6 linked regions of the Danio rerio genome follow. The protein of the gene in region 4 purifies or fractionates together with the protein of the main gene of each other region. This does not show direct contact. Links are inferred from orthologs where the notes say so. Each region holds a gene or a part of one and is shown on either strand. Other genes may lie near its edges.

The links.
Region 1: the proteins of stx7l (region 4) and vamp4 purify together in Homo sapiens (affinity purification with mass spectrometry; 3 studies listed by BioGRID and IntAct, counting the BioPlex papers as one, with this or other methods). This does not show direct contact. The link is inferred for Danio rerio from reciprocal best matches to the Homo sapiens genes STX7 and VAMP4.
Region 2: the proteins of stx7l (region 4) and vamp8 purify together in Homo sapiens (affinity purification with mass spectrometry; 7 studies listed by BioGRID and IntAct, counting the BioPlex papers as one, with this or other methods). This does not show direct contact. The link is inferred for Danio rerio from reciprocal best matches to the Homo sapiens genes STX7 and VAMP8.
Region 3: the proteins of stx7l (region 4) and vamp3 purify together in Homo sapiens (affinity purification with mass spectrometry; 3 studies listed by BioGRID and IntAct, counting the BioPlex papers as one, with this or other methods). This does not show direct contact. The link is inferred for Danio rerio from reciprocal best matches to the Homo sapiens genes STX7 and VAMP3.
Region 5: the proteins of stx7l (region 4) and snap23.1 purify together in Homo sapiens (affinity purification with mass spectrometry; 3 studies listed by BioGRID and IntAct, counting the BioPlex papers as one, with this or other methods). This does not show direct contact. The link is inferred for Danio rerio from reciprocal best matches to the Homo sapiens genes STX7 and SNAP23.
Region 6: the proteins of stx7l (region 4) and bet1 purify together in Homo sapiens (affinity purification with mass spectrometry; 3 studies listed by BioGRID and IntAct, with this or other methods). This does not show direct contact. The link is inferred for Danio rerio from reciprocal best matches to the Homo sapiens genes STX7 and BET1.

What each region holds. Positions count from the first base shown.
Region 1 is NC_133195.1:16,243,287-16,248,435, forward strand, and holds part of vamp4 (vesicle-associated membrane protein 4), read left to right. Parts: intron 1-968; coding exon 969-1,015; intron 1,016-1,136; coding exon 1,137-1,187; intron 1,188-3,988; coding exon 3,989-4,089; intron 4,090-5,149. UniProt on the Homo sapiens protein: Involved in the pathway that functions to remove an inhibitor (probably synaptotagmin-4) of calcium-triggered exocytosis during the maturation of secretory granules.
Region 2 is NC_133180.1:28,881,714-28,886,088, forward strand, and holds part of vamp8 (vesicle-associated membrane protein 8), read left to right. Parts: intron 1-2,116; coding exon 2,117-2,281; intron 2,282-4,265; coding exon 4,266-4,375. UniProt on the Homo sapiens protein: SNAREs, soluble N-ethylmaleimide-sensitive factor-attachment protein receptors, are essential proteins for fusion of cellular membranes.
Region 3 is NC_133186.1:42,698,881-42,704,029, forward strand, and holds part of vamp3 (vesicle-associated membrane protein 3), read left to right. Parts: intron 1-836; coding exon 837-995; intron 996-4,703; coding exon 4,704-4,755; intron 4,756-4,902; coding exon 4,903-4,919; 3' UTR 4,920-5,149. UniProt on the Homo sapiens protein: SNARE involved in vesicular transport from the late endosomes to the trans-Golgi network.
Region 4 is NC_133195.1:49,558,980-49,564,636, reverse strand, and holds the start of stx7l (syntaxin-7), read right to left. Parts: upstream 3,944-5,657; 5' UTR 3,895-3,943; intron 1,087-3,894; 5' UTR 1,078-1,086; coding exon 999-1,077; intron 628-998; coding exon 558-627; intron 267-557; coding exon 176-266; intron 1-175. UniProt on the Homo sapiens protein: May be involved in protein trafficking from the plasma membrane to the early endosome (EE) as well as in homotypic fusion of endocytic organelles. Mediates the endocytic trafficking from early endosomes to late endosomes and lysosomes.
Region 5 is NC_133192.1:35,130,788-35,135,359, reverse strand, and holds part of snap23.1 (synaptosome associated protein 23.1), read right to left. Parts: intron 3,217-4,572; coding exon 3,072-3,216; intron 1-3,071. UniProt on the Homo sapiens protein: Essential component of the high affinity receptor for the general membrane fusion machinery and an important regulator of transport vesicle docking and fusion.
Region 6 is NC_133194.1:43,528,122-43,533,519, forward strand, and holds the end of bet1 (BET1 homolog), read right to left. Parts: intron 4,747-5,398; coding exon 4,637-4,746; intron 4,532-4,636; coding exon 4,475-4,531; intron 1,741-4,474; coding exon 1,585-1,740; 3' UTR 1,290-1,584; downstream 1-1,289. UniProt on the Homo sapiens protein: Required for vesicular transport from the ER to the Golgi complex. Functions as a SNARE involved in the docking process of ER-derived vesicles with the cis-Golgi membrane.

The sequences.
Region 1 (5,149 bases), about 33 Mb from region 4:
TATTTAAACATCACAAGTCTTGTTAAATTTTGGGTTTCACTTAATATTAAGTGGCCTTAACTACCGTGTACTCGCTTTTAAATTAATAATTTGGTACAAACCACTTATTATACACATACATACATGTTTTACATTGTACTTGTATATACATTTTTAATTATCTGCTTGTAATTACAACTGTAATTTATTTCTGTAATCACATATACACAGTTGACCAAAACCTTAAATCTTAACCCACCCTTAAACATGCCAACAAACCTGTCCCTGACCTTAATAGCACTATAAGTGCTGTGCAATACAATCTAAACACTTTAGTTTACATAGTTTTAATGCATCTAGTAGATATGGCCATTTAGTATATGGTGGGACTGAATTTTGAAGGCTTTAAGCCATGCATTTCCATTACATTTATAGCTTTCAAAAGAGAAAAAAATCATTTATTGTTTCTTTTCCATGGTGTTTTTTCCTGGTAAGGTAGCATGGAATTTTCCAGAAGGAATTTTAGCGAAGTATCACAGGTCTGGATGCAGTTATAGAGAGTTATATAACATTAGTCATGGAGATGTTGAAATGATCAGCTGAGGTATGTGATCAGTCATGGATGTTACAACAAAACTAATGAGAGGTCAACTAGATGCCTCCTGATCTGTGATTGAATGCAGACCGCATGGACTTTATATCTCTTTGTTCATCAGCAGTGTCTCCTTGTCTCCATGTCCTGAACAGGTTTATCTTTGGGTAAATTATTTTCTAGGAAAGCCAGCATCACACGGTGTGACCACATTGTGCCCTTCAGAGTGTTCAGTTGTCCTTGACGGCTGGCAGACCACTGTAAACATAACAATAAGAATTGATTGAGTCTCAGACTGTTATTTCAAACACCTGGTTTCAATTCAGACAGAACATTAGATTAAACCCACAATGCCCAGTTGTGCCCAGCCTGATATACTCATCTTCTTAATTTGCAGAGGAACCTACTGGAGGAAGACTCTGATGAAGAGGAGGACTTTTTCCTGTAAGTCTGCAGTTGTGCATAATCACTCTTGAATTGGAATAATAACAGATCTTCTGCATTAATTATTGTTTGCGTCCAGCTTTTGATTTGTCTAGCTTTTTTTTAATGTTTTTTTTTAAAGGAGAGGACCGACAGGACCAAGATTTGGAGGTCAAAATGATAAAATCAGACAGTACGTACACAATTTTTCTTTTAAATTTTTTCTGTTGTTTATGGTTTGTATGTGAGCAGCACTAGTTCTGTGTTCCCTTTGTGGATTGACAGTACAATACTTCTCATTTCAGTCAGTTGTCGTCCATTTGGTCTGTTCTAGCATAGGCTTTTGGTCCAGACACTATATCTATATCTATAGCTTATTTAACAATGCAGATTGTGTCAAAGCAGCCTAACATAGATGAAGAAAAGAAAGTAAAAGCAATAATATTTTAAATTGTGGAATTTTCCAGGAATTCAGGCAGGTAGGCCAGAGAGTAAAGTCGAATGCTGGTGTAGTTCTAGTAAATTGAAACTGTTTCACTTCCGTTTTAGTATAAATTCAGTTTAGTTCATTGATATAGGGTGTTTACACCACACTTGTAATTAGATGCACAAATATTTTTAGTTTACTTCATTCTTGCGTTAAAATCAGTTCACAATAGACAAAGATTGATGTCATGGGAGGGCATCTGTCTGCCTTGTGACTTCAGCTTTGTTGCTAATGGCTAACATGAATTTTATGAAGAGAGTAGCTGTGCTTCTCCAGAAGCTGTGCCAGGATCACAGAAGCCTTCAGTGGTATTTCCGACTGAGCTAGTTCCAGTTTGATGAGCTGTTGTCCTGTTTTCACTGGAGGATTTTTCCCTTGGGACACCATCAAAAGAAACTATGTTGTAGTCATGGCCCTAGTAGAGCAAGTTCCTGGTTAACGCTGCACCAATGTCCACCAAAGTTCAGATTTTTCAACTGAAGTGTCATTTGCTCCATTCACATTATTTGCTTGATTCACTTCATTCGTGCAAGTAGCGTCGCTGGATGTCTAATCACTTCTTTGCATTGACCTAACATGTAAATCACTTGCGCTAGACCCTACATCCACATCTGGTGTGAGCCTGCATCAATGCAAATATCATTGCTGAAGGCCGATCCACTGAAGAGCAGTCCACCAATGTGCGGCTTCACTAGTGCAGCCAAGCAAGCAAGAGGCGAAAGTGGCAAGGAACCAAAATTTCACCAATTGAAGGAAGTGAAGAACAAGCCTTGAGAGAAATCAGGCTAGACCATTCTTAATCTTGCTAAATGTCTTGTACAGAGGTGCAGTATGGATGCCACAGGCTTGAGAATAAAGGATGCCCGTTGGGGAAAAGGTGCAGGTCCAGGTTGGTCACTAGGCAGTTGTTCAAACTAGCAGACAGGATCAATGCGTTGACCGATTTGTCACTGGGGTCTTTGCAGAAACCGACTCAATGACCACAACAGCCATCTGCTCAGGATATGGGTTGTATTAATCATTTTGTAGACCTAGTGATAAGAAAAAACAGACTAACACAAGCATAAACATGTTGGCCTGGTGTGTCCCAGGCTTTCATTGATTCCTGGTAATTTGGCATGCCTTTGACAATGCATTGTTTTTATGTGAACAGTTTTGTTTTTTAATGTAAACAAAATCAGAAAAAAATATTTAAAATATCCATGTGGACATGGCCTAAGATTGTAGTCTGAGGATGCAGTCTGTGTTGAGGCTGAGACTAAAAGAGAGAGTCAAAGTTGGGACCAGAAGATGGTCAAGTTTGAGTCCAGGCAGAAACCTAGAGAGGGTTGAGTTCAAGTCAAGACTTGATGTTTTAAGTTTGGTAGTTATTTTCAGAACTGAAAAACTAGAAATGTTCAAGTAGTAGGATGAGCTGAGCTTAAAAATGTGGAGGCAGATATCTAGAGATTTACACTGGCAGGGTGTTATGGAAATCGCAGTTCTTGATTCAACCAGCACTGCCCATGTCGTTGTGCTTGTAGTTTATGTAACCCTTTATAATGACATCTGTGAAAACACCCACCCACAAACACACCTCCCGTCTGCAAAGAAGGGAAGCACTGTAACCATCTGGGTTTCTATGAAACAACATAATATTTGCAGGCAAAAGTAAACAGCTACTCCCAATATTCAAAAGTTCTTCTGGTCCTGACGTGGATGTAGTAGCCAGACTGTGAGCTTTTCTTTGTTATGAAGTTTGGTACATACTAATGTGTTGCAGTAATTCTCCCAGTGGAGACCTAGCAGAGCTTCGCCCAGTGTGTGCAGCCACACGACACCAGCTTTACGTAACCATGTGCTGCACTGTAGAGTGACCCATAAAACAATGGAATTTAATAGGGAAACCTTGGAAGGTGAAATTTTCCTAATGTTTTTTTTTTTTCTTGCCTTTGTGTACTTCTCTGATTTTTGCACTTACTTCATTTGTCTGTTGGTTATTGATGTGGAAGCAGGGCTGCACGTGGAAGGTACAATTCCAGGTGCAAGAGATGTGCAAGGTCCTGTGCCATTGGCACTGATGATGGTTTGTACTAGGCGGGCATCCAGGCACAGAAGCAAGGGGCAAAACATCCTGTTCTCAGTTCATTTACAGGTTAATCTCCCTTTTCAAAAGCCATGCCAAGCTCTTGTGCCAGGTGTATGAGAGCAGCTAAATACCTCACATGCTATTTAGTGCGTATTTGCTTGTCATGCCTATGAGATCAAATATTTCAAACTATTTGGATGTGTCTAGACTATGTCTAGCAAAACATTCTCACCACCTCTCGACATTGCAGGGTCAACAGATCATAGTCATAATGATGAATCCCGAATGGTTTATAGAAGAAGAAAAGGTTCACTTTTTCAAAATAATAGAATCACAGGCCTAAACATGTGCACAGAAGCTGTTAAAATGTCCTGCTGAATCGAAAGGAAGTACCATACCATTCCCCTCATGTTGTCCTCTCTGTCTTGTTGGTCTTCAGGGTGCAGTCTCAGGTCGATGAGGTCATTGACGTCATGCAGGAAAACATCTCCAAAGTGATCGAACGAGGAGAACGTCTAGATGAGCTGCAGGATAAATCTGGTAAGATGGATGTGAACGAATCATTGTGAATCCTTTGCCACTTGCTAATTTCTTTAATTCCAAGAGAATCAAGACATGATTCTTGGACCATCACAGAAGTTTTGTAGTTTCTTCTTCAGACTGGGAATCTGTAGTATTGTGAACATGGGAACAATTTCATTTAAGTTCAATTAGGGCTGGGCGATATGGCAAAAATGTAATCTCGATAATTACTGTCCATATCGAACAATTAAAATATATATTCTGATATCAGTTGTTAATGCTTCCACATTTAAAGAGTACCCTAACAATGACTGAAGCCTCAAAAATTAGAGGGTCCATTAAATGGCATAATGGACTAAGTTCAATTTAGCTATAATGAATCAAGGACAGATTTGCAGATCTATGTTATTAATTTCTGTGCCTGTAGTTGCAAATGAATAGATGGGAAAGCCATGTGTAAACAAACTATTATTTCCAATCGGTCAAATTCGACAGCTCATTAAACTTGACCAAACTTGATCCAGAGGACTGTGGGAAACTGTTCTGAAGCCCAGTGTGATGTCAGAATCAGACCTTCTGTTAGTTTTGTATTTCACCGTACCTGAACCTCTTGTGAGTTATGTCCCATTTCTGTTATTTCGTTTGGGGAACCGCCTGGGGACACATGGCCAGGATAGTGGGTAAAATGTCTTGTGGTCCACACTGTGGTGTGGTATTTTTCTCATTTCAGGCCAAGATGTGAAAAATAAACCAAAAGATGTTTGTGCATGGGTTTGTCTACGCTGATCTGAAATGAGTGGCTAGTCCCAAAAAAACATGAAGAGTTCAGAAGCAAAAGCCTCTAAGTTACATCTGTTCTTCTGAAATGAGCATTTTTCTCAGGCTCCTGTGTGTAGGTTTAATAGTTTCACCAATGATGCCAATTAACAGGTTCTTATATTGTCTTTAAAAGTAAAAGGGGGTCAACAATACTAAATGGATTTGAGGATGAACTTTGGCTAAAGGCCGAAATATCATTTTAGATGTTTTATAATGTGGTCTGATATATCTATTATTGTGATATGATATGTCACTCACA
Region 2 (4,375 bases), on a different chromosome or scaffold from region 4:
AAATTCAAATTGTGTGCTGCACATTTAAGATTATACAGTATATTAAAAATAAATACATTTGTAAAGTAGTTGATATAATTCTCTAGTAAACCAATGTAGTACTAAGCTCCGATATCTCTTGACCAATAATGGACAATGTTGAACATTAATGTTTGTACTTAAAAATGCACTCTATGTAATACCGTTGACCTTCGTACACTTTCTAATCTAATGTCTATCTTCTTTCATTTATTAATTTTCTTGTCAGCTTAGTCCCTTTATTAATCTGGGGTCGCCACAGCGGAATGAACCGCCAACTTATCCAGCACATTTTTACACAGTGGATGCCCTTCCAGCCACAACCCATCTCTGGGAAAAATGTCTATCTTATCCTTTTTAAATAAAACTTCCTAGCTCTGACTTTCTTCTTCAAATACACTTTTATTTGTTCTAATACTGTCTATAGAGGTTGATCTACTTCTAGCACTAACAATCTGTTTTCTGTACTTTTTTCTTTTCTAAATAATTTGGCCTTCTGGCATAACGCAGTTTTCTTTTTCTCTCTCTCTCTCTCTCTCTCTCTGTCAATTCAAATCAATTAAATTCAATAATTGTGTTATTTGCATGACAATTGTAAGAAATGTATTGCCAAAGCATTCATAAACTTTACTTTAAAAAGAACATGCTTGTAACAAATAAGGAATGGTTAACTATTTTGAAACACAGATGATCACAGGTAATTCAGATTCATGGAGAGAATTTATTTGGAAAAATGTAAACATGAAACATTTTATTTTAGGTGTTATAAAGAACCCTTTCAAACTAGAGATAAAAAAGGTGAATGCTGTAGAAAATGTGAAAATATATTGGCTGATTATGTCCACATATTTTGGTATTGTAATATTATACACACCTATTGGCAAAATTAAATAAAGAGATAAATGCTATAATAGGATTGAATATTGATTGTAATTTTAAAACTATCTACCTGGGAGTTTACTCTTCAAAAATACTAAAAAATGAGGGATATCTTCTTAATACACTTCTAAAATCTAGCAAAAAGGCCATTACAAAAAAAATGTCTCAAGGAACATCCTCCATCTGTAGGTGAATGGTATGAGGTGTATGATATGGAAGTACTGACACTTTCCTTGAGACAATTAATCTATAAAGTTTCTGCATACTGTGGTAAATTGTTGAAAAGAAATTATTTTTATTTTATTTTATTGTGGTGATTTTTATTTATATATATCAAGGGCCTGTTGATCTCAAGTAACCCTTGACAAAATTTTATATAGCAACATTTTATCAACCATAAATACGAATGTAAATAAGATTGTATTCAGTGACCGTTGACACTTGTATTTTATGTCTTTTTTGTTTCCATGTTCCTTTGAAAATGTTTTTTGTTTGTTTTTGTTCTGAACTGTTTTGAAAAAAAAAAAAAAAAAAAAATATATATATATATATATATATATATATATATATATATATATATATATATATATATATATTAAAAAAAACAGTAAATAGTCGTAGTAAATAATATAATAATAATAATAATATAAAAAATTATAAATAAAAAATGTAAATAACAAATGTAGGAATAATAATAATAATAATATTAAATCAAAATAAATTTTACATTTAACAATCAAGACTTTAGGATAAAACTGTAATAATAAATAATAATTATCAGTGTATATTTACAATGATTAATTTATTGGCGCCATAACAGTTATAAATGTTACATTTGAATAGGAAATTTGCAATACCTGTGATACCTTGATTAAACAGTTTGTTTGTTTTTTCTTCTGTTTTTGAATTAAATTGTGGTTACCGGCTTATTAAATTACATGTACACAATAAAATTTGACTTATGGAATTAAAATTCCTAAAATGCTGCTTGCATTCATTTCAGTTTTATAAGTAGATTAATAGTTTTCATTTTCAATGTATTCAATTTATTTATTGCACATACATTAGACAGGCTTTTACTCAACATTTTGCAAACGTTCCTGACCTCTTTTCAAACTCATTATGACATTCTGTCTCTTTAGATGTATTGTATAACACAACAGTGGGTTATTTTCATATTTATGCCCACCATTTTAATTTGCTTTTGTTTTGTGTGCAGGAGCATAGAGAAGGAGAATCTTCACAGGATGCAGATCGAGTCAAAGCTCTGCAGTCTCAAGTGGACGGGGTCAAGGATATTATGACCCAGAATGTTGATCGAATTCTGGCCCGTGGAGAAAGACTGGATGATCTAATGGGAAAATCTGAAGACCTGGAGGCCGGGGTGGGTTTTTAATACAAAACCTCTTTGATCCTTATCACGTATTACAGCCGTAAGCCTGGCACAATGTTGTTAGTATGTACACTCACTGTCGAGTCTAAGGTCAGTTGGATTTGTTAATTGTTTTTGAAAGAAGTCTCTTATGCTCTCCAAGGCTACATAACATTTTACTGTCTGCATTTTGAGTGGTTTTGAAATAGTGAGCTAGAGTTATTATTTGAGATATTGAGCTAGAGTCATTTTATTTTCTAATAGTTCAGTAAAAGTGTTTTTATCATAATTTATGCACATATTTTCTTATAGAATAAAAGGTTTATCTTACTCAGTTATGTGCATATGTTTTTTTTTTATGCGCATTTTCAAAATTTATGCGCATCTTGGCGTTTCCAACAACCGTTTTTTATGCACATATCTAAAATGCGCATAAAAATAGGTGGTTGGAAACGTAGCTACTGACAATTTAAAATAACAGTTTTTAGTAACTTATTAATTTAGAATGTATTTTTTTTTATTCTTTTGATGTTAAAACTGAAAATTTCAGCAGTCATTGCTCCAGTCTTCAGGGTGACAGGTACCAAAGAAGGTCTGCACTCAATAATTTATTTTAAAAATCACAGGAGAAAAGAAAAAACAAACATTTCGACTGTGCGCTTTTGTCAGTGTAATGATTCTGAAACTCTTGCTGCTCAAATACTCAGTAATTCCAGGCGTTAGCAATCAAAAGAGTAACAGATCTCCTTGATCTTATTGGTTTCAGTTAAAATCAAATTGTCATAAATCAGGAATAGATCAGGGTCATATGAATTTTTAGGAACATTATAAAGGCTACTTTTTTGGTTTCCCAAGAATGCGTTTCTTACACAAGACAAAAGCAGGGATGTTCCGATCGATTGGCCAGAGATCAGTATTGGCCAGATTATCGAGTACCAATCGAGTCATGAAATCGGCCAATCTCATAAACCGATCCCAAGTGTTTGTTTAAGAGTTTAGGCAGAGTAAGGGTGAAACTTTTTCATGTTGAATTCTTCTACCATCATTTGCAGTTAATACAAATTGCATAGTTAGCAATTTTTCTTACCATTTTTTTTATCTGTTTTATCTATTATTTTCTGTAAAGCTGCTTCTGATCATGACATGTCCACACTAAATGGCTATAAGAGACATGTTAAAGGGATTATATGCAACCTCCTTGCTTTTATTGTCTTATGTAAGGAGAGATCTCCACATAAGTGTCATACTTAGTGAAAATACTTAGTGTCATACTTAGTATGCATTATAAAGCTTGAAGCATCAGAATCGGTTCTTGGTATCGGCCGATCCTCATGACAAGAAATTGTTACTCGGTATCGGCTGCAAAAATCCTGATCAGAGCAGCCCTAGACAAAGACTTATAAATACCAATATTTTTGACCGGAATTTGTGCAACTTTAGTTTTAAGGTCCTATGAAATTACAATAAAAGTTTTTTAGACATTAGTATCAGTATTGTTAGTTTTTATGATATTTATAATCTAGTGTGCTTCAAAACCGTGACAAAATTAGCTTTTAGAAGATATGAAACTAATATGAACATGTAAAACTTAGTTTGTCAATTCGCCTAAATGGATCAACAGTTTTATTTACGTCAATGAAAATGCATATTTCAAAGCACTTCACAGGACATTTAAATAAATTTTCTCACTATTAAACTCAGGTTTATTACCTCCCTCTCATTAAGATATCGGCTGGTCATTAGTACTTATTAAGTACATACTCTGCATGATCATATTGAACATCCCTAATCCTACCTAATACCTGAGCTTAACTATTAATAATCAGAAAAGTAGGAGTTTATTGAGCCAAAAATGTATAGATCATTGGTTTATTAATAGCCAGAATTGTACCTTAAAATAAGGTGTAACCCAGTGCATGTCTTTACTGTCTTTTTATTACCAACTTCATCTCATGTACTTACCAATCAACCTTTTCCCCTTTTTTCTGCTACTTAGGCCCAGAACTTCAAGCAAACCTCCCAGAAGGTCGCTCGTGCTTTCTGGTGGAAAAACGTGAAGCTGATTGTGCTGATTGTTGTGATAGTTCTGGTCATTTTACTGATTAT
Region 3 (5,149 bases), on a different chromosome or scaffold from region 4:
TGTACTTTACTCCCATTTTAAATGTTATAAATAAAACCAAATTTGGTAAATAGTTTTTCTAATAACTCAAATAAAAGAGCTAAACAAAACAATCACAAGAGTTGAAAAACAGTACAAAATGAACACACAGATGATACCATTTCATTAATTTGACACAAAAGAAGATGGAGTTATTTCTGACACTTGTACGAAAGCTCCAATTAGGTGTGTTGAAGGATGTTGGAGCTACACTATGCAGAACACTGGCTCTCCAGGACTGAGTTTGGACACCCCTGTCCTAGAGAAACGAAATATTGAATGAGTAAACAGTGGGTGTGGCTTGTTTTTTTTTTACTGCGAGCTGATTGGATGTAGTAAAGTAGGCGTTTCATTTAGAAAGATCCGGAAAAGGGTTTGGATTTAGGCCCAATCCCAATTATACCCCCTTAGCATTTTCACATTTCAATTAAAGATTACAAGCATTTTTTTCTTAATGACATGCACAGATGAATTGTTCAGCACAAAACTAGCAATGTGAGCTAACTAAATCAATACGGTTAGTTTTGATTTCAGATTTCATTTGTACTTGAAGAAACCCTCTACTCCATTGCTGTTAGTATGAAGTGCTGACTACTAAAGTCCTGCTGCTTTACAGAAGCCTCCAGCCATCCTGCCAAAAGATTCACATCATTAAACTGATTACTAAAGCTCCATCGCTGCTCTGACAGCTGTTTGTTTACACACATGGCACCATTCCTTGACCTTGATTACTTTTTCAGGCTTTAGCATCACTTTTTCAGAGTTCTCTAACAGCCTTGCGGGTGTGTTTTTTTTTTTTTTTTTGTATACTTCTCCAGGTGGTGGATATCATGAGAGTGAATGTTGATAAAGTCCTGGAACGAGACCAGAAGCTGTCAGAGCTGGATGATCGTGCTGATGCCCTGCAGGCCGGAGCGTCTCAGTTTGAGACCAGTGCCGCCAAACTCAAGAGGAAATTCTGGTGGAAGAACGTCAAGGTAAAACTAGCAGTAAAACACTAGTAGTTTAGTAATACTTGCTTCAGTAAATCAAATTTAGGAATGTTTTTTTGAAGTTACATCTAATTTATTAATAAAATGTATATGTTTTCAGTGTTTTGAGGGATATTAAGTGACTTTTAGAGGTTGCTGTTGGTCAAACTATACAAATGATGCGTCTAATTTTTTGTTTTTTAGGCTACATGCAGATATGAACACCTATTTTACGTGAAACGTGTTTTGTGAATACTTAAGTTGTCCATCAGAGCTCTTGAACTGCCCGTTTCAGACCGTTGAATATTATTTTTTAGAATTGATTGGTGCGATTATGCATTCACAATGGTATAAACCGTAATGGGGGGTCAAATATATAGTTATTTAATAAATTTTTAATTATTAATATGTAAGATATAGACCAGAGAAAGCTATTTCTTACTATTAAAGGGCTGACCCCCATACATCTTGATTTGATGTCCTTCAGGGGGGGTCAATCGTTAATTAGAGGAGTCAAACCCCTGTAATTCGCTCCCTGCTTTTAATTAATTTCATTAAAGGCATGATTAGGTTATTAGGTTAACTGCAGTAGGTTCACACCGGAGGAAACACGAACACAGGGAGAACATGCAAACACCACACAGAAATGTCAACTGACTCAGCCGAGGCTCGAACCAGCGACCTTCTTGCTGTGAAGCGACAGCTTTACCCACTGCGCCACCGCGTCGCCTACATAAAAATGGTCAATTGTAATACTTTGATTGCATTAACACGTTTCTGACCACCAGACGTCCCTACAACGTAGAGTTTCAGACACTTCAAAACGTTGAAACATTTTGCGAAGCAATTCTTCAATTGCTTCTAATGCTGGGTTCACCCAAGACGAGGAAGAAGTGTCAAGCACGAGTGCTTTACATGTTAAGTAAATGCAAAGATGCTAATAGACATCCTGCAACGCGATACGTGTGAATGAAGCGGCGCAAGTTGATCGTTTTGCACGTATCACACAAATCGCTCGAGTTGAAAAATCTGAACTTCATCAGACATTCGAGCCTCGTTAACCAATCATGAGCTATGTCTTGTAGGGGCGTCACTATGACGTAGCGCCTGTTGTTGGTGTCCCAGGGGAAAATCCTCCTGCCGACACTGGACAGCTTATCACACTGGGCTTGGCTCAGTCAGAAGCACTGCTGAAAGCTCCATCGTCCATGTATAGTTTCTGGAGGAGTTTGAGCTCAGAGCTGGGTGCACCTTTGAATGGATCTAGTGCACTCAGACACGGCACATAAACGCAGCTATTCTCTCAATAAAATCAATGTTAGCCATTTAGCAATGAAGCTAGAGTCACCGTGCAGACAGAAGCCCCGCCCATGGTGCGAATCCGTGTCTGTTGGGAAGTGAATCTGATGCGCGAATAAAGCGGGTAAACTTAAAATGTTTACGCGCGAATAGCACGATTTATCTGTGCGTGCACCATCTAGTGTGAACACAGCATACGCTTTGAAAAGCTTCATTTCTGCCATCAATAGTGGCTACATTGTTATAGTACAACGACTAGCTGTAGAAGAGCAAGCAAATACCACGTGGAAACAGGACCACAATGTCTCACTTCAGGGCTCGAAATTGGGACCATTTTGGTCGCATATGCGCCCGAAATTTAAGCTATGCGACCTCATAATATATATTGGGAGCATTCGTGCGACTGCATATAATAGTTGTAGTGCGACCTGTTTTTTTTTTTTTTCTCAAAACGTGGTAAAATCGGTCTTCCCTGCCGATATATTGGTTCATATTAGCTGTCAATCACTCAAGATTTTCCGCTGTCAGTCGACAGGGAGAGAGCTTTTGTAACCTTGGGGAATGCAAACGGCTGAAAAGTGAAAAGTACACTGAATCTCGATGCGTTGCATGCACTGCATGTTCAGCCAACACAATCTCACGGCAATTCATAACATTTTCAAAAGTTTCCTCGTGAGATCAGGCTGCAACAGCGCAAATGTCCGCTAAAACACCATCGCCAAAGAAGCTTGCCTTTACTGAGTTTAAACTGATGCGGGTTATAACAAAGAACAGTGTTGCCCCTGTGGTCATCGGGAGAATCCTGCCCTGCCCCCCTCGTATTGGGCCGGCTGACTCGCATGCTTTTCCACAAACACATATGTAATTCAGCGCGTAACGACGCTGAGCATTAAAACGACACGAACCGAAACACGAACTTTTAAAAGTGAGACTTTTCTTCCTTTCTTTTGTCCGTTCTTTCTTGAGGTGTATATTATTTTTCTATTTAATTACTGATGACTGCTTTTCAGCTTTCAGCATTGAACTAAATGATTTATTATATTATTTCGTTTGTTTTGTTGCAGAAATATTATTTATTTAATTGACATGCATATAAAACAATAGTACAAAATAAATATTTCTTACTACAATGCTTCATTTGTGTTTGATGCAAACCATTAATTTATTTTTCATAAAGTAACTGTAGGACTATATAGCAGATAACTTACATTAAAGCGGGACTAAATTTTGAATCCCGCTCCCGCCCGCACCCGCCAGGTTTTAGCCGGAACCCGACCGCTCCCGCTTATATTAAGCACTTGATGTCCCGCTGCCCGACCCGCCCCGTTTTCTATCCGCCGCGCCCGATCCCGCTAAAGAGCGGGGGGAGAACAAAACCGAATAATCACCCAGTTATACAGTCCAGACAGTCTATAACAAGCTGTCTGTATAAACACACACACGCACGGCACCAAGCACACACACACAGACAAAGCTTTTTCTCTCATTTGCGCGCGCCCTCTAACACACACTCATAAGCACCAAGCACAAACACAGGCAATAAGGCAAAGCTCTCGCACACACACACACACACACACACACACACACACACACACACACACATACACACACACACACACACACATACATACACACACACACACACACACACACACACACACACACACACACACACACACACACACACACACACACACACACACACACATATCTGTCATTCGCGCGTGCGCATACATACACACACACAAACAAACAAGCTAAACACAGCATCGCGCTATTTCATTTACACACATACATACGCGTGCTCACTCGGGAGTCGGGAGCGATATTGCTTGACAGCCCGCTCCCGTCCCAAATTAAACCCGCTACCGACCGCTGCCGTGATTTATTCGGAAATTTATACCCGCGCCGTAGAAATCTGGTCGGGTCCCGCGGCGCCCGCGGGACAGCCGCAGGAATGCAGGCCTCTACATTCAAGGCAGCATGATGATGAGAAATATAATTCATTATTAGTATTATTATCATAATTAATATTTTATAACTATTCAACATTCATTTTGGAATTATTGCACAAATATTAAGTCTTCACAGCATTAGTTAGATAGTTGTTTCTGGGTTTTGTTTGTCCCAATTGATGTTGTTTTCAAATACAATCAATCCCTTAATATACAACTTGTCAAATATATCATTCATTTTTGGTGAATGCTCCTAAATTTTTTGTGGTGCTCCTAAATATTTCAGATTGGGAGCACCGGTGCTACCAAGTAAGAAAGTTAATTTCGAGCCCTGAACTTATACTTTTAGTCCAGTTGAACTGCCTTTACTGCAGTTGCTTTTTACAAATATAAAGACATGTATTTAAAAAGAAATATTCTTACGCACTAAATTGTCAATTTGTTGTTCGTTGTCTTGCAGATGTGGGCCATTTTGATAGCTGTGGTTGTGATCATCATTATCATCATTGTCAGTAAGTTCCACTTGAGGTGGCAGCAGTGTGAAATTTCAGACTTCAGCTCTGTGATTGTGTTGGAAGTATTTAGGACATTACTAAGTGGTGGATGGACATATAATTAATGCATCTCCATATATGACTGTTCATTTTTCCTTTTTTCAGTCTGGTCGCAGTCATAAAGTGGCACAGAGTCTGGTTGTGATCGGAGGAAAAGATCAGGATATGAAGGAGTATTCACTTCAGAAAGAAGAGTGAATGAATGAACAACCGGTTGCTCTTCCAATAAGTTCTAACCTGCTGATTTTCAAATGCATATTTTGTAAACTATCTTCAATGGGTTTTTTTTCTTTTAGGTTTTGTTTTTAATGACTAGATTTGAATATGTTATGAATTCAATTCCAAAATACAT
Region 4 (5,657 bases):
TGGATTGAGTTGCTGCCATGTGTTTGGCTGATCAGAAATCTGTGAGCAGTTGGGCAGGTGTACCTTATAAAGTGGCCGGTTAGTGTATATTTCAATATATTAAGCTACATTCTATTACTCAATTGTAAAGCATTTATAAATATGTGTATGTGATGAAGTATGAGTTTGATAGTACCTGTTCTGTGGTCGCAGGTAAAGAGCTGAAATCTTTCATGCATTTATCTGTCACTTTAGCAAGTTGATTGACACTCTGCTGCTTCTCCTGCCTATTTATTTTGACAAAGACAAAAGAATATATTTGAATTATATACATTTTAGGGATCCACAGAAAGGCCATTTGACTGATATTGATTTTAATAAACTGTTAGCCTATATTCCTAATCATTTGTCCTTAAAACAGATATATTTTATAGTCGGTTTAACGCTATAGCCAAAACACAGACCGTTTTAAATTCATTAATGATTAGCTGATAAAAAATAGGCTAAATAGATTCATCTCTATTTATTTTATGTGCTAAAGGACTGAGATCCAAACTAGATGTTTGTATTTGGCTCACAATGTCTGTCGCAGGTCACTTGTGTCTTGTGCCGTTCCAAGATGTCTCATCAACTGCTGGATTTCATTAGCTGGGAAACAGAAGCAAGATCTAAATCAGCTTTAAACACCTCCCATGTTATCAGGTTACAGAAAGGACTGTTTTGTCGTAAACAAATGTGTTCCGCTTGTACTTGACTTTTTATCTGTTGTGGTTTTGTGAATGTAGCACATTAAATTGCATAGCAGATAAATGGAGAACAACTGAACAAAGAAATTGAAGATGTGAAAACAGAAACATCACCACCATCCAGGCGTGGCTAAAAATACAAGTCAAGTCTAGACATAATCATTAAAAAAGTACGAGTTTACTAACAGTTATTGTTTGGTAAAAAAAACTGATGGTACATTTTTGTAAGCTATACAATTTTTATAGCACATAAATAAGAGTGAATGTACTCACTTAGAAGCGTTATCCTCTGGATGTTTGAACTAATAGTCTGTGCCAGCCCATTGGCATCGACTTCTCTTGATCCATACATGATGGAAGCCTTTAATGAAAGAGACAGAAAACACATTTGTAGAAATCACATTTATTTGCAGGCCTACAATCGCACAATTATCTCTTATACTGCGCTACATAATAACAAGCTTATACAATTTATTCATAAACATGTTTTCTTATATACATTGCTCCTAAAACATACTATTTGAACGTGTTTTTACATATGGCTTATCAATTTCTTCCTTCAATAACATTCAACTATCATTATATTTGATCCTACATGCTACAGAATAGTTTGTATATTAACATGTATGAACTGAAATGCTGGATTTGCGACGTTTTTAATAAATGTCAAGTAGTGACAGACTTTCACGAGTTGTAAACATGTTTTACACAAACTATACATACTTATTAATGTTTAATATTCCCACATTCATTTAGGGACAACTTGTGACATGTTTCCTATATTGTTTACTACTTTAAATATTCGGTCTGAATCATATGCCTCCAAAACAACATTAGCACTATTTAATTGACCATGAACAATGCTGTACTTTAATTGTCATTTGCTGGGAATATGATTTGACTATTTAGTATTAGTAAAGAATAGTTTTCTGAAATTATATTAAGGAGAAAGTCTGAATGTGTGAATATAAACCAACTTTAAGTTACCCTTAAAACGTACTGTACTATTTGGAGACCAAAACAATTGCTCACTATTTTGTATGCGTTTCTTAATTATATTAATGGGGACATTCAAAAATGCTTAACATGAAGAAAGCGGGGCTTAATGTAACTAAACATCAACCAGAAAACCCCAAATTTCTGTCAAACTGTACTTGTAATTAACCCTAATTACTGTAAAAAGAATGAGTCCCAATTAAGCAGATAAATTGAAAAACATCATGTTAGGCGTTTACTCCCCCATTGGAGTCTATTATAAGGATAAAGCTTAACGTGGCTTAATGTACCTTAACAGCAAGTGGGAGAAACCAAATTTCTATAAAAGTTACAAACACTTTCTGATGTCAAAAGAATGAGCTCTTATTTTAGTGGGTAAAAATTATCACGGTATGCAATTCTCCCCACTGAGTCCATTATAAAAGGAAAACGCTTAACATGGCTTAATGTATACCTCAACAAGTGGGGTACACCAAAAATCTATCGAATACTTGTGATTAACACTAACTACTATCAAAAGATCAAGCCCTTAGTCTGTAGATAAAGCGGACAATGTTGTTAAGCATTTTATCCCCATTTCAGTCCATTATAACAGCTTAATGTGGTTTAACTTAACATCTAGAGACAATCAAATTTCTATAGATATATATTCATGAAAAACACTTACTGCTGTAAAAGAACAAGCTTTTATTTTAGTGTATCAAGTGAGCAATATCACTTTCAGCATTCTCCTCACAGAAGCGCATTATAAGGAATCAGCTTAACGTGGCTTAACATATCTTAACCCAGACCAGGGAAACCCAAATTTCTTTACTTGTGATTAAGACAAACTATTTTTAAAAGAATGGGCCTTAATTCCACAGATAAAGTTAACAATATCACGTTAAGTGTTTTCTTCCCCGTTGAAGTCCTTAATAAGGAAAGCTTGACTTAAAAACAGAGGGAAACCAAATTATAAAAAAGCTGTTCAAAAAATCTAACTTAATTTATTATAGATTAACCCTTTGCTGTCAAAAGAATGCACTTGTGCATGTCATTGACATCCCCACAACAACATAGGGAAAAACGCTGTTCACTTAAGCTGTGGAAATGGGGCAAATTTTTAATTTTTTTGCTATATAGTTAGTGCTAACCACAAGTAAAATTTGATAGAAATTTGGTTCCCCCCACTTGTTGTTGAGGTACATTAAGCCACATTAAGCTTTTACTTATAATAGACTTCAATAGTGGAGAAAACGCTTAGCGTGATATTTTTCACTTATGGAATTGGGACTCTGTCTTAACAGTAGTTCGGGTTAATTACAAGTAAAGTTTGATCGAAATGTGGGCTTCTCTGGTTGATGTTTAGGTATATTAAGCTATTGAGGCAAAGTTGGTTTTATATTCGCACATTCTTTCAGTGACAACTTGTGATACACTCCCTATATTGTTTACCATGCTACTTTATATATGAAGTCTGAAATCACATGTAAGTATGACCTAAACATTAGCATTATTTAATTGACTGAGAGCAGCGTGTACTTTGAAAGTCATTAGATGCTAATATGATGTCCCTAATCAGAATGTGCAGTTCTTAGCCAAAATTATATTATTAAGGATAAAGTCTATAGTATAAAATCAACTTAACCTCAATTATTAAGCTTATTTCATGCGTTTTAGAATCTCCCTTAATGATATTACTGTTGTCATTTTGAATTAACGAGAAAACTTGCCCCATATAGTTGCTCACCTTGCTTTGAAATATGCCTTATTAGCTCAATAATTACTCGAAAATAGCTGGCGTAATGTTGTTTATTGGTTAGCAGGCTAGTACTAAACAGATGACTAGTAAAACCGATCTGCGCTGCACCTGCAAAACGAAAGAATGCGGAAATCACGGCTCACAAACTCACAAACACGCATTTTCATTTATAAAACTAGACAGCTATTGTTTTAACTTTGCTGACACACAACAAACATTAACATTCGGGAATCTTACAGTGTAGTTTCATGTCAAGTGAACACAAATCGCGCTGTCAACAAATATGCTTCAGTGAATGAACTTTGCGCTTGCTACTTTACTGACTTCTCTTTTAAACTACCCTCAACAACTATTTACGTAAAGTCTGCACACATGTACAGTTTATAAATACGCATCGTTTACTTTAATATGTACTTTGGTTGTTCGGTTTACCTGGATTTCCTGAGTGAAACTCCGAGCCCTCAGCTGATTTCTTTGACGCGCGGGTCACGTGACTTCTGTTCTATCTTCCGTGTGCGTTCAGAAACATGTAGTAGATTAGTAATGTACTTGACGCATATACTAAACTATTGAGTTTATGTACTATATGTTTAGATCGACAAATACTAGGCAGATGTCTATTATTATTAACTTACCCCAATTAAAAAAGTAAAAAAAAAAAAAAACTAGCCTACATAACAAAAATAAAGTAGACTTTAACTTGGTTTCCACATGGGTAATAAGTAGCCTAACCTTACTAAAAAGAAGTATACTTCACGTTCCTTTTTATTAAGTATAGTTAGTTAATATTGATATATCTTAAGCATACTTCACATAAACATTTATGTAGGCTACTAGTAGTATAGCTATGTGGTTCCCAAATTGGGGTTTGTGAGACAATGAGGGTGGGTTGCTTGGTGATTTCTCTTTAATATATGTTATTAAACTATTAGAATAGCCATATTTTATCCATAACTTACAGAAGATAAACATGGTATTTAATAGTTAAATAAAATAACAGCATGCAAATAAAAAGCCATCAGCCTTTCAATTCTTTTCCCATTGGATTCCAACCCCTGGGGTTATTACACTAGATTAATGGCACAATGTTAAACTCTGACACCTTTACGGCACGCGTGTACATAAAAAATAAAGGCCACGACTACACATAGAGGACGATCCCCAAAATTAAACCAAGAATAGTCTTGTGCTGCAAACAGTGTGCTCACCGTTGTCATTAAGTGAGATTAATAGTAAATTAAATATTGACAAAAAAAATTATTTATATATATATAAATATATATATATTATATATGTCGCTGCGAGTTACTGAAAGTTAGCGTCATAATCTAACGTGCTAACCACTGGACCACAACAGTTGTATATGAAGGACTGACTCATCTGACTAATATCGTCATTAACCTGCAGGCTGGTCATATATAAAAAGAGCAGAGCTGCGGTAAAATGATGAATAAGAAGACTGTAGTCAAGTAAGTAAATAAATTAATTTAAAAAGTGTGACTGCTGAGAGCAACAGATTCTAGAGCTAGGGACACCGGCCCTCGCGGCCAAAAAACGCACCGGCCCACCGGGAATTCTCCCGGTCCTCCCGATTAGCCAATCCGGGCCTGATACACACACACACACACACACACACACACACACACACACACACACACACACACACACACACACACACACACACACACACACACACACACACACACACACACATACATACATACATACATATATATACATACACACACACACACTCACACACACACACTTACACACACACACACACACACACACACACACACACACACATATATATATATATATATATATATATATATATATATATATATATATATATATATATATATTTAATTATTTATTTTTTGTGTGCACTGTTTGTATGTTGTACTGTTTGGATTGCGAGTCACTGGAATTGTTATTTTGGGGCTCACTAGCTGAATAGTTTGGGAACGCTTGTTATGAGCTACTTGTAATACTTGAATATATCATAGAACTAAATTGGCTAGCTTTTAGTGTAGTATAAGTGTGACAGTACACTTTAAGTGTACAACTAGTCATAATGCTTGTAGTAAATGGTTAGTTTGCCCCAAGCTCAGAATTTGGGCTTCGAATTAACTACAACTACACACACACACACACACACACACACACACACACACAAAAAATAATGCAAT
Region 5 (4,572 bases), on a different chromosome or scaffold from region 4:
TAATATTAATATTCTTCAAACATTTTCAGCTTATAGGCATCCAAGAAAGCAACTGGGACCCCCAAACATTTTTCCACTTTACATTTTCAATATAATAATAAATAACACATTTAATAGCCCTGTTACGTTATAGGCCGAACATGAAATATGTATGTGTATTATTCATATAAGTATTATGAATGATTACAATTATCTTTATATTACCATTATTTATATTATTCTGGTATCATAATTTATGTTTTCCTTTAATAAATGCAATCATTGCTACTTAAAGAAGTCCATCAAGTATATTGGTTGCAGTAGTTATGCTTAGGTTTGGGCAATCAAAACAGCATACATGCTACTAATATTAATAATAATAAACAATAATTAACAAAAGAACATCTAATTAGAGTAAGTCTCAAGACCAAAAGTAAACAAAACATGGATTGCTTTAAGCCCCGGTCAGATCATACGATTTTTATTGTCGGTTACGAAAGTAACTATGTCAGATCATGCGATTTTTAATTTTTTTTCTTGATAAAATCTTGACTTGTCGTGGGTGTCATTTCAAAGCAGTCACAAATGTTGCTATAACAATATATTTTTTTAATCTCGATTTCAATTTGTTTATTATTTTTTATCTTATTTTAATTTTAATAAACACTGATGCTTGCAGACAACTAACTACATTATTTAAGAGCATTCGTTAGGATAGGACCAAACTTACGATTCCTTCGATATGATGCAAAATTATACATGCTTATAGCCTATTCCGTGTTCAAGCGCATCCATAAAACTTGCACCGGCAAAAGTAATGATTATGAATTTGTTGATGCAAAAGCTTGTTTAGGCCAGTACTAAATGCAAAATGCTATTTTTTTCTGCAAGTTATATGTAAACTTATGACTTAAAATGACTTGAATTAAATGACTTAAAAACATAAAATTGGCAGAGTGTGTGTCGCAAATAAAGTGTTTATTAAATGAAGAGTCAGGTGTCTTTAAAGCTTTGGAAAATTTCTCATAAAAAAGGACAAGAACGTAAATGCTTTTTACAAGTCGCAATCAAAAATGAGATAAGTGGTGTATTGGAGTGTTGCTGTAACAATATTTCTTATCTCAATATAATTAACTTCAAACTCAATAAACACTAATGCTGGCTGACAACTTGGCCTAATAACTATTTAAAGGCATTTGTTATGACATTGATAGGATCAAACTTTTATGTTTCTTTTTTAATATGAATATATTTTCTTTGAAATTGTATATTTTTCTGCCAATGTTTCTATTAAACACTCCCTTGCCTGAACATGAAATGAAAGAACATCAGCAGCTGTGAAGCAGTGAAGAATTAATTAAATCCTTATTTTCTACGGAGCGCATCAAATCATCACCGCACAGTTGGACGGGCACAAACTAAAATATAATTCATAAATGTTTCTTGGAAAAAATATCTTTTTGAAACGGATTTTTGTTAGCTATAAAATGTATCTTAATTGTAATGTATTTTTTGTTGGTCAGTTAACTACTAGATAAAAAAAAAAAAAACGAATAACCTTTAAAGTGAAGTGCTTCAAAACAAGTTCACTATAGGCCCATGCTTCAGCGCTAAAACATGAGTTGCCGTGAGATTGTGTTGGTTTGGTAAATAAAAATATAATCTAGCTTAAATAAAATTAAAGTTAAATATTCACAGTTTCAGAGAAGCCTATATTAAACTGTTATTATGAATGACACATTTGAATAAGCAGGACTGGCTTTTATTAGAACAAACTCAGTTGGAAAGTTGAGAGCAGTGGCGCCTGCAGCCGTACATTGTGCGTTTCAACCATGAGAGGGCACAAATTAATGCCGCTTATTTATTTATTAAATAATGTGAATTTATTATTAAACAGTATACACTACGATATATTGACAAAGCAAGAAAGAATGAGAATAATTAAAGGTGTGATTGTGTGTTTTAAAGTGTGTATGTACTTGCATGGTGGGAGATGTAAAAAAAAAAAAAAAAAAAAAACATACATGATTAAACAAATTAAACTGTAATTGAGCGGCGCAACGGATGGTTTCGTCACTTACAGTGACAAACAGTTTAATATAGGCTTCTCTGAAACTGTGAATATTTCACTTTAATTTTATTTAGGCTTGATTATATTTTATTTAACAAACCAGTTTGAGTTTTGGCTCTGAAGCAAAGGTTATAGCGGACCGGTTTTGAAGCACTTCACCTCAGGTGCTATTCTTGTTTATTTTGTAGATAACTGAGCAACAAAAATATATTAAAATTAGCCTAATTATTAATTTTATATTATACTATTTTATTAATGATAAATTATTGTAATTAATAATTTAAATTATTGAAATACAGTGATGTGCTTTCATTTTCTCGGTCTCACTTGCGACAATGAATAAATGTAGCCTTGACAGCAAGCATCAGTGTTTTTTGAGATTGAAATGAGAATAAGGGATGATGGGGCCGGGTGGTGCTATATATGTGCGTATCTTTGAATAAAATCCTGCTGGTGCCCCTGGAAGAGAGAACTCTGAATGGAGAAGTGGGCATATTTGTGCCAGTCTGTCAGATAAAATTGCTTAAAACACTTTCATATTTTAGAGAAAGTAGTTAAAGTTTGCATAGCCAATGACTGGTCATATCCACCCGTGACTGACCCATCTGTAAATTTGCAGCCTGTTTTTTGATTACCTGACCAGCTCATTAACAGGAGCACCTACAAAAATAACTTGTATATTATGTGCTCTTATTGGGCCGTGCCACACACGTGGTGGACATCATCGTAAGAAACAACAAAAGAATAAACATGCTAGACTTTCTGCGACGGTGTCGCGAGGTGTCGCAGGCATGGGATCGGTTGTCGTGAACTATGCCACATTACAGGTGAAGAAACGATGGAATCTTTTGTCCTGACGTCTATTTGTTGTTTACCAATCTCTACAACACCCAAGGTCAAAAAAATCATGCCAAAATCGTGTGATCCAACCGGGCCTTTACAAACTACTATTTTCATTATACAATATGTAACTAATAATGTACTGTAATCTACTCAGCAGTGTAAGTGTGTGTATCTTTACCTTATCAGTGATACGATCAATGGTCTTGTTTTGTTTGTCGATCTCATTGCCCATGTCCAAAGCCAGATTTTTGAGATTGCCAATGATGCTGCCCACCTGGTCCAGATTCTCCTCCATCTCATCTTCTCGAGCATCATTTGTTATTCTTCGGGGAAAGAAAAAAAATGGCAATAAAGCATACAGTAAATCTTTATTAATGCAAAACAATGGAAACATTGGTCATCTTAGGAGCACAAATTAAGATATTTTAGATGAAATCTGAGAGCTTTCTCATCCTCCATATAATTAGCAATAGTCCCAATATGTGCAAAGTACAGAAAAAGAACCAAACTACTTTTGTGTGTCAAAAATCAACAACTGTAAAAACAAATGTCTATATCACATGTATAACATCTATGTGGAATAATCCTCCCCTATCTGTGATATCTGCATCTTCCTTCAATCATTTTAAATCCAAGTTACAGTTGCATCTTTGCATGCTTGCTTTTAACTAGGTCCAGACAAAATCTGCAGACATTTTTTGCTATTTCTGTCGAGAGTTTTGTAAAAAAAGAATCTGAGGATTTGTAAGGAAAAATTTTGGGAATATCGTAACTAAAAACTTAATATATGAAACTTTACAATGTGAATCCAATTAGATCCACTTATTTGGTAAACAAAGCAAGTGTCTATTATAATATATATCTACTAAAAGACAGAAAATATGACTTTACAAACTGCATAGTAAATAAATCATATGAACATTTTCATATTAGTCAATCATATAACAGAAATTAATAAAAAAAAACTGAATTAATATAAGTTTACACAGAATTACAAGTAAATAAAAAGACTGGTGGGCTTAGATGAAAAAGATGATGGGCTTAAAATCTGCGGATTACTGTGCACACAGATTCTGTGCGGGCTTACTTTTAACTCTACTTTTATAATTTTTTTTGTCTGCAGGGTTTTGTATTTATAAGTATATTTTTATCTATTTGATATCCTTCTTGCCTCGTTCTACAGCACAGTGGTCAACTATTGTTGTGTTTATTTGTGCTTTATATGCAAATTAATGAAATATCAAATTCCAGCCTACTCTGCCATATCAATTTATCTGACCCGCGAGAGCTTATGATTCACACCAACTGCAAATTTATACTATGATTACAGTTGAACTACTGAAGTTGAACATGGAATGTTTGATAATGGTTTTTAGAAAATGAGCACCATCACAAAAAAGACCCAAGTCACTTTCCAAAACATTTTTAATCAACGTTTCATGTTGGTGGAATGATCTTCCCATTCCCACTTGAACTGCTGATTTTCTATTAGATGAGGATGTGTAATAAATAACAGAATTTATATTTTTGGGTGAACTAACCCTTTAAGGTGACTCATCTTAATAATTAATGAGGAATTAAAAATCCGCTGTAACAGTCCAAAAATAAGCACTAACAAACTGTACATGTGGAGTCCAGCTGCAGATTTTGATGTGGCAGGGTAAAAACAATGAGTCCTA
Region 6 (5,398 bases), on a different chromosome or scaffold from region 4:
CTCAAACTTTTGACAACATAGAGGAAATGTTTATGTAATAATTCTCAAAATGATATTTATTTACAAAACACTTTCTTAAAAACTGAATTAAACCATGCATGACGTTAACCACAGAGCGGAGGAGAAATAAGCAAGAAATATTTAGAGTTCTGGGATTAATCCTTAGTTGGTTAATATACAGAAGTGAATTGCACATGATCTCACATATCTCATTATTATTTCACAGTTTCAGGATCAGCCCTTTAAAGACTATAATATACTGTACTGTACTGTATAACACTACCGGACACTAGTTGCCCCACAGGAAAAAAATAAATAAATAAAAAAGGTTTGGTGGCAACTCTTGCAAACAATGTTGTAAAGAGGAAAAATAAAAATGAATAAGGTTTCAGTTCTGGGCATTTATCATAACCTGAATCATGAACCGCTTGAAAATTCTCAGTTTCTCTGGAGGAACTGGATTCACCAAGTATGCATTTGAGTAAAACTTTAATATTTGTTTTATTTTATACATGTATTTTATTATATATGTATTTTTATATATGTATTTTTGCCCAATTTATTTATTCCACTAAATATTGCTTTGTTAACTCTGCTGAAACTGAAACATTGATGCTTTAATGAATAATTTGCATTGCTCTAATTTATTTGCAGATTCAGAAGTGATGACATTAAAGGTCCCATGAAGTGCTTTATAATGTGGATGTTTTATCTGATGTTTGACGTAAATTTAAACCGAAACACCAATAGAGGGTGGGGCAGGGTAACTCCTCCCCTAAAAACAGCCAATAGCGTTTTGTTTAATCACCGCTCTGTCAGCTCAAGCACAAAATAGGGGCGGGCCGGGGCATGTCAGATACTAGAGAGCAGTAAATTGGTTATGATTTGATGAGAAACTGCAGTATGAGGTTCATGTGAATAAAACAGTTGATTCGTTTGGGTGAAGTGACAATCTATAAGCTTGACATGTTCATATCAGTTTTATATCTTCTAAACTTGAATTCTGTCACTGTTTTGATTCTGTGGGACCTTTAATAGATTACAGAATAGAAGACAAATGACATTTTATTCAAACACACATGATTGATTTTCTTCTGGAAACTGCCTTGAACTGGAAACCTGTAACCATTGACTTCAATAGTATATATATATATATATATATATATATATATATATATATATATATATATATATATATATATATATATATATATATATATATATATAAATCCATTAGAATTTATAAATCATCACCCATTCATAGCAATGAAGTTCTCTTAAAAGAATAACACAAACAAATGTTTAATTATTACTGAATTAAATATGCATGTTTTTCCAGTATAAGTAGCATTTCTCCATTGAAGAGACTGTAATTTTGGGGACAGATGTTTTTTTTTTTTCTCTCATATTGCACATTGTAACTCAATGGTTCAATTTCTAATTCACTGGCCAGAAAAGCACATTTGCTCCCCTTAATTCCTCCTCATTATCATCATTACCATCATCATAAGTGTGAGGATTTTGCTCTTCTACCCCAAATGAGCATGGCATGTAATAAAGTCCTGGATCTCAGGAGTTGTGTGGTCACCTGAGTTTGATGACCCAATACAGGACGAGGAACACAAACAGAGCAAACAGCAGCATGTAGCAGTACACCTTGGTCTGGCTTCCCCTGGAGAGGAGCTTCAATCGGCCCATGGTGGCTCCCAGCAGACCTCCAGTCGAGTCAAAGTCTGAGTCCTTAAGGAGAAAACGAGTCAGATATTAAAGCTATTCACAATACTACTATCTTAAAAAAGAAATTTAATTAAAGGGGTTTAACATGCAAGTACACGTATGAAGTCAGAATTATTATCCCCTGTATACCCCCCCCCCCAATTTCTGTGCAACAGAGAGAATATTTTCCAGCACATTTCTAAACACATTAGTTTTAATAACTCATCTCTAATAACTGATTTATTTTATCTTTGCTATGATGACAGTACATAATATTTTACTAGATATTTTTCCAGAGTATTCAGCTTAAAGTGACATTTAAAGGCAGTAGGTTAATTAGACAAGTTAAATTAGGCAAGTCGTTGTATAACAGTGGTTTGTTCTGTAGACAATCGAGAAAAAAATAATGATTAAGGGGCCAATAACACTGACCTTAAAATGACTTTAAAAACAAAAATTAAAAACTGCTTTTATTCAAGCCAAAATAAAACAAATAAGACTTTCTACAGAAGAAAAAACATTATAGGAAATACTGTGAAAAACTCCTTGCTGTTAAACCTCTTTTAAGAAATATTTGAAAAAGAAAAAAAAAACTTCACAGAAGAGCTAATAGTTTAGACTTCAACTGTATATACTGTAAATTTGTTTAGCATGCTTACGTTTCAAAAGATTACAGCGTTGCTTTAACCACAGCACAATTGGAACTTTAGAATGCCTTAATGTGAATGCATGAATATTTATTCTTAAATCCCAATGTCAATCTTTTAGTTTTTTTTTTTTTTACAACAGAACACTTTTTAATTTAGAGCTGCACAATTTCAGCATTCAATGTCTGCATGTGAAATTGTCACATCCCTGGATCTGCAATGTTGAGATGGGATTATACTAAATCCAACACCACCGCTCAGAAGATGAGATCTGCAAAGTTTAGCCATAATACATTGAAATTAGGGATGCTCATTTCAGTTAATTTTGCCAACTGACAACTGCCACTTGTTAACAGAATATTAACCATTAACTGGTCATATTAATATTCAATTATTATTTAATTTAAAAACTTGTATTTTGTGTCTGACACATTAAATATTGCATTTTAAAATACTTATTCTAAAACACACAACAAAGCATCTTCATGCACAATCAGGGAATCTTCCGTCCATTTCATATTTGTTTTCAAGCAAAAAAAGGAAAATTAAGAAAACTGACGTTTTTCGGTTTTCTTTTGTTTGCAATAGAACAAACTTTTTTTGTTGTTGTTTTTTTTTAGGGTAGGAAAATGGATAGATGATTTTAAAATTAATAATGCACATGTAGGCAGTGCTGAACACCCATTTGTCTCTGATTGGTATTCAAGATTTGTAAAGTGCTAACTAAGTTCGGTGCTAACTGATAAAGCATGTTAAATAGAAGCTATAAAATAATAAGATGCATTACCTCACTGTGATTTAACCATTACAGAAACAGATGTGCCTGGCTATATCATATCTAGATAAATATGCCTAGATATCTATATCATATCTAGAGAGCTAGTACAATTTACGTTTTTCTGACTAATTCGCGTGTATTTACATTGATATGATGCACATTTGATCAATTAGTTATTGTATTTCACCAAAACTACACACATTTTTTACTGTGAAAACAAATTAAAAAAAGCTATTTAAAAAATCAGTAGTTACAACTATTCAGTTTTGCGAATTGTATTATTACCTCATCAGCTCCTCAAAATAATGAATGATGATGATGGGATTTTTTTAAAACCATGTGACAACTGTGCCACTCCCACCTGCCGGTAGAAACAGATACTGCAGAATAGCTGACAATTTAATTACATGACTTAATAGCTGCGTTAACTGGAGCACAGTGATGTATGAGCTAATTTTAAAAACTTTGATAACAAAATAAATTTTATACAACCTATTTTTATTTAAGTGCAACATATTCCAACAAAAGATCAGGGGCTTTTGACAATACATCAGGGGCTTAAGACGCCACAGTCCCCCTCTTGAAACACACTGTGCATTTCTGTGTGTGCTGTACATGTAGAAACACCTTTCTATTTGCACCTGACACTTCCAAGGACTCAATGGGAAAATCTCATACATTTGTGGTACAAATCTTGTGAAATTATATCAATATCGCAATATATCGCAGAAAAACTAAATACTGTCAATTTTTCCCAAGATTGTGCAGCCCTATTTCAGATGCACAAATAAAAGCTTTGTTTTGTTACTTTAAAATTCAAACAATAAATGCTTTATTCTTATACTTTTCAATACATATTTAATATATAATGTACGTTTAAATGAATCCGTTACAAAGGAATTGGATTACTAATTGGAGTAGAAACAATTTCATAATTAGATTTAAATTATTGTAAAAACAGTCTCATGTTTGCATTTAGAATTATTTTAGCATGGATTTCAATATCTAAAAACTAATTGCAACTGAATTTAATAAAGGTCCCTGTTGGAAACTGTACACTTAAATATAGCAATGCTTAAATAATAAGGCTCCATATATAGTTTATAGTTGTTCCCCTCAATAGCAGTTGTACATTTATAGTTTCTTTACCCTTAATATCAACTGTACTTTTAACTGAATTTATTTAAAGACACAGCCACAATTTGTATAGTAAAAACATCAATGTTATGAATTTTTCCACCCATTAAACAGAAAACACCAAACTTCAAAACAAAAGTCATTTTAGTGTACCATGAAACCCCTACTAGACATTGAAAAACTTCCTGACACATACCATTTCTCCCAACATCTTATTGTGGATCTTGACTTCATTTCCAATGTCAATAGACAACTGCAAAAGGCATAATTAAAAGATTAAACACATATTTTCCAAAAATAAGAATAGTTATGCAGAGTAGTTAATCAAAATAGAGCATCAGATATGAAGGCCACTCACGTGTTTAAGTGCGTGTACTTTATCTCTCAGTCCCTCCTGTAGATGTTCATTCTCCTCCTCATACACACTGTATCCGCTCGCAACGTAATTGCCTTGAGGGCCACCTTCTCCTGTACAAGAAACATTCAGGTCAGGTCAAATCCAACGGAATTTAAAAAAAAAAACATTTAAAATCAAGTATTTAGTACTAAAAATAATAAATCTTATTACAGTAAACTGAAATGTTGCCTTAAAGAACTGGTTCACGACAAAATGAAATCTGTCAATGTTTACTCGCCCTTTAAATGTTTCAAACTAGTAGCTAGTGTTGTCACGATACTGGAATTCAATACCAATCGATACTGAAGCTTAAAAAAGCATCCATCTCTTGCTAAGATTTAAACACTGTTGATTACGTTCTTAAACACAGCTGATTTGCCATTGTGTTCACATGCTCAACAAAAATGACTGTGATTGGCAGTGAAGGTCATTAGTTCACCAATCTCACTGCTGTTCACTGAGTGTAAACACAGATACAGACACTGGAGCATTTAAAAGCCGCAATTCATCAGCAGATCGCTTGTATGTGAAGTTATAGACAAACCAGCTGATTGACGTGACTTTAAAATGCTTGTGTCCCTGTATCTGTGTTTACACTCAGTAAACAGTGTTGAGTTTGGTGAACTAATGACCTTCACGGCCAATCACAGTCATTTCTGTTGAGCATGTGAACACAACAGCAAATCAACAGTGTTTAAGAATGGGCTCAACAGCGCTCAAATG